Linked DNA regions of Daphnia pulex. The protein of the gene in region 1 purifies or fractionates together with the protein of each later gene. This does not show direct contact. Links are inferred from orthologs where the notes say so. Each region holds a gene or a part of one and is shown in the gene's direction. Other genes may lie near its edges.

Region 1 (3,983 bases):
AATGGTGTTGGTTCAAACTTTTTTTTTTCCATCGGCGATCTAGTTGGGTTATCTCCTTGTATACATTTTGGCGCTATTCGTCTTCTAGCTCGTTGAGATTTCATCGTAACCTTTTTTTTTTCTTTTAGAGTATTTCAGTTGGGCCGTCCTCCAGCGTGTGCAGCCAATTGAAGATCATCATATTCCTCATGTATTTTGACAGTGGCCGGCATTGATCACGTTCGACGTCGTTGAGAGTGAGGGCGCTTTTGATCCATGTGGCATCCAGCGGAGATGAATTACCGCCAGATCCGGCTTTGGCACTCAACGACTCCTCACCGCTTCCGAAAGGCTGACACTGTGACTGCTCCGACTGCATCGTCAGATCCACCTGGCCACTGGCCGCCTCGGCAACGACGGCAATCTGATCGAGATTAAACTGGCTCTGCGACAGACGCTCCAGCGCCTTGTAAGCTGTCAGGAGCCGGGGAAGTTTTTGTATGTTATACATTATCACTGGGGCACTAGCACTACACAAGCGACACCAAATGGGATTTGTTGGCAACTTATCAACGATAAGTTATTATCTTTGTAAGGACCATTGTGAGTGACTGACACAGGCCGGTGCGATTTTTTATTTGAAAGTCGTTTGGATTTAATTGACTTGTATTGTGTAGTAGGGTGATACACACCCGGACATTTTTTTGCGGTAAACCAATTTTACGAAATTCAATTTTTGCTTGCGATTTCTTTCTTTCTTTTTGGGCTGTTGTTGTTTTCTTTTTGTATTTATTTTTTAAATTGCGTACTAGTTATGGATATTGACATAATTCAAGTACTCCCGTTATTTGAAGATTTTGCCCTTTCTATCTTTTCTCATGTAAAATCCAAATCCGTGCCTTTCAGTCAAATTTATGTTCTTATTTGATTCGAGTGCACTGTTCTTTGTGATTCTTGTTCGGCTCATGTTAGACTATGCGTTCCTCTAGAAGGTTTCTTCATTTATTACCATTCGACGACAAGTGCTGGAGATTACACCAAGGTGACGGTCTTGGGCGGCAACACCCGCACTCATATTGTCACTCATTTACTGCCCGAGACGCACTACGATCTGAAGATGCAGTCCTTCAACATGCAGGTACCCGTTCAGCAGCAAACTTTCGTTTACATTTCTATCCCACCCATGGAATGTCGTGAAGTATAATTTCTCTTCCACTTTGACTTTGCCGTGAGCTGGGTACGTCTGAATTCTTCTTAGGTAAATTATCGGCAATTTTTAGGCTATTCACTCATTGAATGGAATTTTATTTATATTCTCGAAAGATGGGTACGACCTCGAGTAAACGATGTTTAAAAAAAATGTCTGGCAACATTGTTGCCAGACAGTGTTGCCAGAATTTTTTTTCACTGGCTCGAATCGTGTGAAAATCGTGTGAAACCGGAAATTGTAATTTACTTTCAGTTTTAAATTGTAAGAGTAAGACTCCGTTCAGTTGACTTATTAACCCAACAGGTAACTTCAAATGGCTAAGCGTACGGCGACTCGAGAATTAAATCACGACAACTGGAATGACGAAGAAGAGGAGGAGGAGGCGGGAAGCTTCCAACAGGCTTCGGACGAGGCATTAAAGGGCCGTGTGATTAGACAAGCAAAAAGAAGGATTGCAGGCAATGATGGAGAGGTAATTTATTGTGCTAAGTAACAATCTAGTCAATTGGTTAACTAGTATTTAAGTGTGTCAGATGTTTTCCACATATTTCTCAGGTTTTTTTGTAACCAGGTTTGAATGAATGACAGAACTACAACCGTGTTCCCAATTCCAGAATATTTTTTTACAGCGTGTTTTATTTTATTCCCTTACAGGCGAAGAAGGGTTTTTCTGGGTTTGCTGGTTTTGGAGTTCGCACAGGTTCTGAACCCAGTAAAGCATTCTCCAACTTTGCTATCAAAGTACCAACTACTGTAGAAACAGGCAAGACAGAAAATGGAGAAAAGACACCAACTGATAATGGGGCTAATGAAAAAGAGTACCTTGCCAACCTAAAGTCTCTGAATGAGACTGTTACAACATGGATTACAGACCATGTAAAAAAGAACCCATGCTGTGTACTCACTCCCATCTTTCGAGATTATGAAAAGCATTTGAAAGATCTAGAATCCAAACGAGCTTCACCATCTTCAAAAGAAAACATGACTACTGAACCTGGCAAGATTGACAGTGAGAAGCTTGAAGACAAGAAATTCCAATTTGGTTCTGCATCAGCAGAAGCTCCAAAACCCTCTTTCAGTTTCTTCGGCAATGGGTCGACAGTTTCTACACCGGCCAAACCACCCTCAACATTTTCATTCGCTAGCTCAACGCCGACAACAGCACCATCGATTTCAACTTTTTCCTTTGGCGCCCCTGCTAAAAGTGATCAAGAATCAAAGACTCCGTTATCGACATTTTCGTTCAAGGCATCCAGCACTAGTTCAACCACTAGTCCACCTTCTACCGGCGGGTTGTTTGCCTTTTCCGGCACTAAACCTGCTGCTACTACTACTACCGCACCAGCCTTTTCGTTCGGGTTTTCTAGGTAGTAATCCAACAAATCAATTTTTCATTTTAATGTCTTTAATTCGTATTATTATCTTTGTGTTTCTAGTACTAAGCCGGCAACAGAAGTGAAAAAGGAAGAAGCGGAAGGTGGTAAAGACGGCGAGGAAGGAGAAGATGAAGACGTTCCACCTAAAGTGGAAGTTAAAGAAGTCAAAGAGGAAGACGCCTTCTATTCTATAAGGTACAAATTTTACTTTTATTGGCTTATTTTTTGTGTTTTAACGCTAACATTTTTCCCGCTCAGATGTAAACTGTTTTACAAAAAGGATGCCAATTACACGGAAAAAGGTGTTGGCACAATCCATCTAAAGAAAGTCAAGGACGATAAAACGCAACTGGTGATCCGTGCCGATACCTCGCTGGGCAACATTCTTCTAAACATCATTTTAAACCCACAAATAACGACCCAGCGAATCGGCAAGAATAATGTCATGCTGGTTTGCATTCCCAACCCGCCTATTGATCCAAAAACGCCGCCTGTCCCGACACCCATGCTCCTTCGTGTGAAGACGGACACTGAAGCCGATGAACTCTTGGCCAAATTGAACGAAGCAAAAAAATGATCGACTTGGGTCAGTCATGCATAATTTGAGTTCTTTTTGTTTCTTCCATTTTCTTGTGATCCCCCATTTCACTATTTTATTCATTCAATTATTTTTTTACGATCTGTACAATAACAATCCCCGTTTGAGACGACCGTGATTTCACCACAGGCAAATTTCAAATCAAATTCAATACAAGTAAGAACCTAATATGTAGTTTCTTTTCTTTTTATTGTACGGTTGATTCAAAAGAGTGTGGAGTATGCCGTCATCACGAATCACGATGGAATGTCGTATTTATTCCGGACTGACTGGATGGTAACATTCTTGGATGTGAGCCGTGAGCCGACCGAGATTTAATATGTGATCTGGTTTCAGCATTTAGAACTCGAAAGGAGATGACAGACGAGCTCTGCGGAATGGGAAACCATCACGTATTGAGTTATCATAATTTTTTCGTATCAATATTTTCCTGTCCAGTATGTCACTCATCGATCATTTCCAACTTTAGGAGGAAAAAATAGTCAAACCGACTACGCTACGGTTAAGCCCCTTTCACTTGGTATTTTTTTTATTTCTCAAGATTTTTTATGGCTTTACGTCATGGCGTATCAGCGTTCAACTACATGTCTTTATAATCGACTAGTCCCACGAGGGAGAAATAGTATCCAACTGTGTTTGATGTCGTGTTAAGTAAGTCAGTGATGAAGCCATCACGGTAGAATCGGGTTGTAACCGTAGAGGCTAGTAAGCAAACATTGTTATAATTGGTTGATGACTTCTGAATTAATTGCTGATTGTTTTTATTTTGCATTTCTTATAAGAAACAGTATTATCAATCGGTTAAAAAAATAGCCTGGCT
Region 2 (4,161 bases), on another chromosome or scaffold:
GTGACAAGAAGAATTTCCAAACTAGAAACCAACCTGATTAGAAACACAATAGATTAGAATGTTTTTTAGGTTTAAGCATATGATTAAAAATAAGCATCAAGGACAAAATTTTTATCATGAATTTAAAAAAAGACATAAAGATAACTGTTGTTGATGTTCTTCGCCCATGCATATTAATATTGCGTAAACAACTTACCAATTCCAACAATGCTCAAAACAATAATAACGGAAGCCACCAATCCTAGAATCACGAGTAGTACGTCAGTGACGAAATGGCTCATTTTTATGGAAGTAAAAATACAAAATTTATTTATTCGTTGCCATGTTTAAACACGTAGACAGCAGACAGATTGTGTTATCAAAGTTATTGACTACTGATTTTCTGCAGACAAACAGAGAGCGTTCAGTATGGTTACGTTTTTGCCTTTCTACCTGGTTCCGCGATAGTGGCGGTACCTGTCGTCCTTCAACAACGATACTTAATTTGGATTATTCTTGTAATAAATGTTTTCTATTCGCACGTAGGACAATTTTTCTTTTCATTTTGATGTAAGTTTTTTTACATTTTAATAGTTTGACTATCCTGTCGAATCTATGACGAAATGCTTGGATACAATTCAAGTCAGTACGTGTTGCAGCATTAACGGGCGTCGTCAGCTGAGAATAGGTTGCATTTTAATCATGGTTCACAAGGAACAACGAATTATTCTTCATTTTAGGAACTATAACAATTTATTCGTAAAAGTTAAAGCAGTAGCAATATTTTAAAATATAGAAATCTGCTCTATTGATTCAAATTTCAAATTGGCGCCATCTATTCTGACAGTTACTAACCGAAAAAGCTTCCAATTCCCTGTGGGATTGACGGACTCATAAATATCATAGCAGCCTACAAAAATTATAATTTAGTGAAATTTGACTCTAATTAAGAAACTATGTAGGGCAGTACGCTTTTCTTAACTTCGAAGGATAGCAAGTTGATTATTTTAAAGTTGAAAATCAAATTTCAACTGTAGTGGCAAAATGGCGTTTCCTTAATTCCAATTAATCAAATGCAGTTTTCCCCGGAGAGTTTTCATAATTTTTGGATACTCTTGGTTAAACAATCACATTTTTTCGTAATCACTTTGCCGCCATTTTATGAGAGCGGAAGTTAACTTAACCCTACGCATGGACTACATAGATCCGATTGAAATACTACATTCTTTAACAAAAAGATTCATGATTAGATTTAAAATAATTGAAAAATTTTATTTTTCACAGTACGTCGTTTTAATATATTTTATTTTTGGTCATTAGTTGAATATAAAAAATTCGTGTAATTCTTTTTCAAATAGAGGTCGCTTTTCCTTGAGAAAAACTGGTGGTTTTTTTTTCGCCACATGTGTTCGCCCTTCGCCGGTTGAGACGAACTTAACCGTCTGATTCTTTCACGCCTAGCTATTAACAAGTCCTAGAAGTTTTTTTTACGACTGAAAGATCTGTGATATTTATTAATAAAAGGAGGGAAAATGGTGCCCGAACCAAATATTCAACTAATTCAAATTTTGGAGAAAACTGTATCGTCAGGTTAGTTACTTAAATTTACTTTTTTCTACAACGGCATGGTTACAACGCCATTGATTTTTCCCGAACACTGAATGGTTTTAGTAACTGTCATTCACGTTTTGTCTAACAGAGAAGAATGAATTGGAAGCAGCCCAAAATTATCTTGAACAGGCAGCAAGAGGCAATCTGGTAAGCAACTTTCTTTGTTTCAACCAACTTTTCTCCCATTTTTGTGTTGCTAAGCAAAACTTGTATCAAATGTGGTTTGGCTAGATAAATTTAAAATTCAAACTAAGTCTCTACTTTGCTAAACTTGTACTTCTCACATAGGTTGAGTTCATCAGAGCCTTGTCTGACATTCTTGCCCATGGAGCAAATAGCCCTGTTGCCCGCATGGCAGCTGGTCTGCAGTTGAAAAATTGCTTGACTTCAAAAGATACCGATGTCAAGCTGGAATACCAGCAGAGATGGTTGTCATTCCCACACGATCTAAGGACCTATGTAAAAAAGAACATTTTAGCTGCTTTGGGTACAGAGACCATCCGCCCTAGCTCTGCTGCTCAATGTGTTGCGTACATGGCAGTTGCTGAACTACCAGTCAGTCAGTGGCCAGAATTGATATCTGTACTTGTTGCCAATGTCACTGCAGCTAACAGCACAGAAATGGTTCGGGAAGCCACTCTGGAAACGATTGGATATATTTGCCAGGATATTGTGAGTGATTCAAGTATTACATAATTTGGATGAGAAAATTATAAAATATGTTTTAAAAATGCAGGATGCTGAAGTACTAGCTACTCAGTCGAACGAGATTCTCACTGCTATCGTACATGGCATGAAACGTGAGGAACCAAGCAATCACGTCAGATTGGCTGCCACAACTGCGCTATTGAATTCATTGGAGTTCACTAAAGCTAACTTCGACAAAGAAGTATGTATTTTACTATTTGAATACCTACGTTTGTTATTACTGATCGCTTTCTAATTGTGTAGAGTGAACGGCACTTCATCATGCAAGTTGTGTGTGAAGCAACGCAATCTCCCGACACAAAAGTACGGGTTGCAGCACTTCAATGTCTGGTCAAAATTATGTCCCTATATTACCAATACATGGAGCACTACATGGGGCCAGCACTTTTTGCGGTGAGTTAATCAAACTGACAAAAAAATTTATACAAATTTTAAAGTTTTTACTCATTATTATGAATAGATTACACTGGAAGCGATGAGGTCGGAGATTGATGAAATCGCACTGCAAGGTATTGAGTTCTGGTCGAACGTTTGTGACGAAGAGGTGGATTTGGCTATCGAGGCCAGCGAAGCTGCTGAAATGGGCCGTCCGCCTGAACATACGTCTAAATTCTACGCAAAGGGAGCTCTTCAATATCTAGTTCCTGTGTTGATGCAAACGTTGACTAAACAAGAAGAGTATGATGATGAAGACGATTGGAATCCCTGTAAGGCTGCCGGTGTGTGTCTCATGTTGTTAGCCAACTGCTGTGAAGATGTCATCGTTCCTCACGTCCTTCCTTTCGTCAAGGAGAACATTGAGGTTGGATACAGTTCTTGAAATCACATTTTTGGTACAATAACATTTTCGTTTTTCAACAACTTTAGAATCCAGACTGGCGTTTCCGTGACGCCGCCGTAATGGCTTTTGGTTCTATCCTTGAAGGACCTGATGCTGTTCAGTTAAAACCTATTGTTGAACAAGCTATGCCTTTCCTTTTCAAATTGATGCATGATACAAGCGTTAATGTACGTGACACTGCAGCCTGGACGATTGGACGAGTTTGTGAAATCATCCCCGATGCAGCTGTGGCTCCCCCCAATCTTCAGCCACTGCTTCAGGCTCTCGTTACTGGACTGACTGCTGAGCCTCGTGTCGCTTCTAATGTTTGCTGGGCTTTCTCGAGCCTGGCTGAAGCTGCCTATGAAACTGCTTCACAGGTAACACTGAAAATTTGTAACTACGTTCAAATAAACCTAAATTTATGTTCTTGAGTTGAATAGGCTACCGATGGAAATGAACCAGATTCGTACTGCCTGTCTGAATATTTTGAGCCCATCGTTCAAAAGCTATTGGAAACGACTGATCGGCCTGATGCTGCTCAAGCTAACCTCCGTGCTGCTGCCTATGAAGCTTTGATGGAAATGGTCAAGAACTCGCCCAAAGATTGCTATATTACTGTACAGAAGACCACAATGGTCATCTTGGAGAGATTGCAACAGGTATTATCACTTACTCTAAAGCATGTTTTGGCATTGTAAAACGGATAAATTTTTTTAGGTTCTTAACATGGAATCCCACGTGTCGTCGCATTCGGATAGAGTCCAATACAACGATCTTCAGTCGCTGCTCTGCGCCACATTACAGAGCGTGCTTCGTAAAGTCACCCCAGAAGATGCTCCCAAGATCTCTGACCCGATCATGGCGGCCTTGCTGCAGATGTTCAATTCGAGCGCTGGGCCAAATCGTGCTGGTGGTGTTCAGGAAGATGCGTTGATGGCAGTGGCAACATTGACGGAAGTCCTTGGCGAAGGATTCATCAAGTACATGGAAGCCTTCCGTCCCTACCTTATCATGGGATTGAGAAACCACGCCGAGACTAC

The links.
Region 2: the proteins of nuclear pore complex protein Nup50-like (region 1) and importin subunit beta-1-like purify together in Homo sapiens (affinity purification with mass spectrometry; 4 studies listed by BioGRID and IntAct, counting the BioPlex papers as one, with this or other methods). This does not show direct contact. The link is inferred for Daphnia pulex from reciprocal best matches to the Homo sapiens genes NUP50 and KPNB1.

The regions. Positions count from the first base shown.
Region 1 is NC_060026.1:3,791,376-3,795,358, forward strand, and holds nuclear pore complex protein Nup50-like, read left to right. Parts: upstream 1-1,363; 5' UTR 1,364-1,426; intron 1,427-1,492; 5' UTR 1,493-1,502; coding exon 1,503-1,661; intron 1,662-1,843; coding exon 1,844-2,556; intron 2,557-2,618; coding exon of another isoform or gene 2,619-2,625; coding exon 2,626-2,760; intron 2,761-2,823; coding exon 2,824-3,142; 3' UTR 3,143-3,331; downstream 3,332-3,983. UniProt on the Homo sapiens protein: Component of the nuclear pore complex that has a direct role in nuclear protein import. Actively displaces NLSs from importin-alpha, and facilitates disassembly of the importin-alpha:beta-cargo complex and importin recycling.
Region 2 is NC_060020.1:1,462,391-1,466,551, reverse strand, and holds the start of importin subunit beta-1-like, read left to right. Parts: upstream 1-1,321; 5' UTR 1,322-1,511; coding exon 1,512-1,569; intron 1,570-1,678; coding exon 1,679-1,737; intron 1,738-1,878; coding exon 1,879-2,262; intron 2,263-2,326; coding exon 2,327-2,479; intron 2,480-2,541; coding exon 2,542-2,691; intron 2,692-2,758; coding exon 2,759-3,100; intron 3,101-3,165; coding exon 3,166-3,498; intron 3,499-3,561; coding exon 3,562-3,780; intron 3,781-3,838; coding exon 3,839-4,161.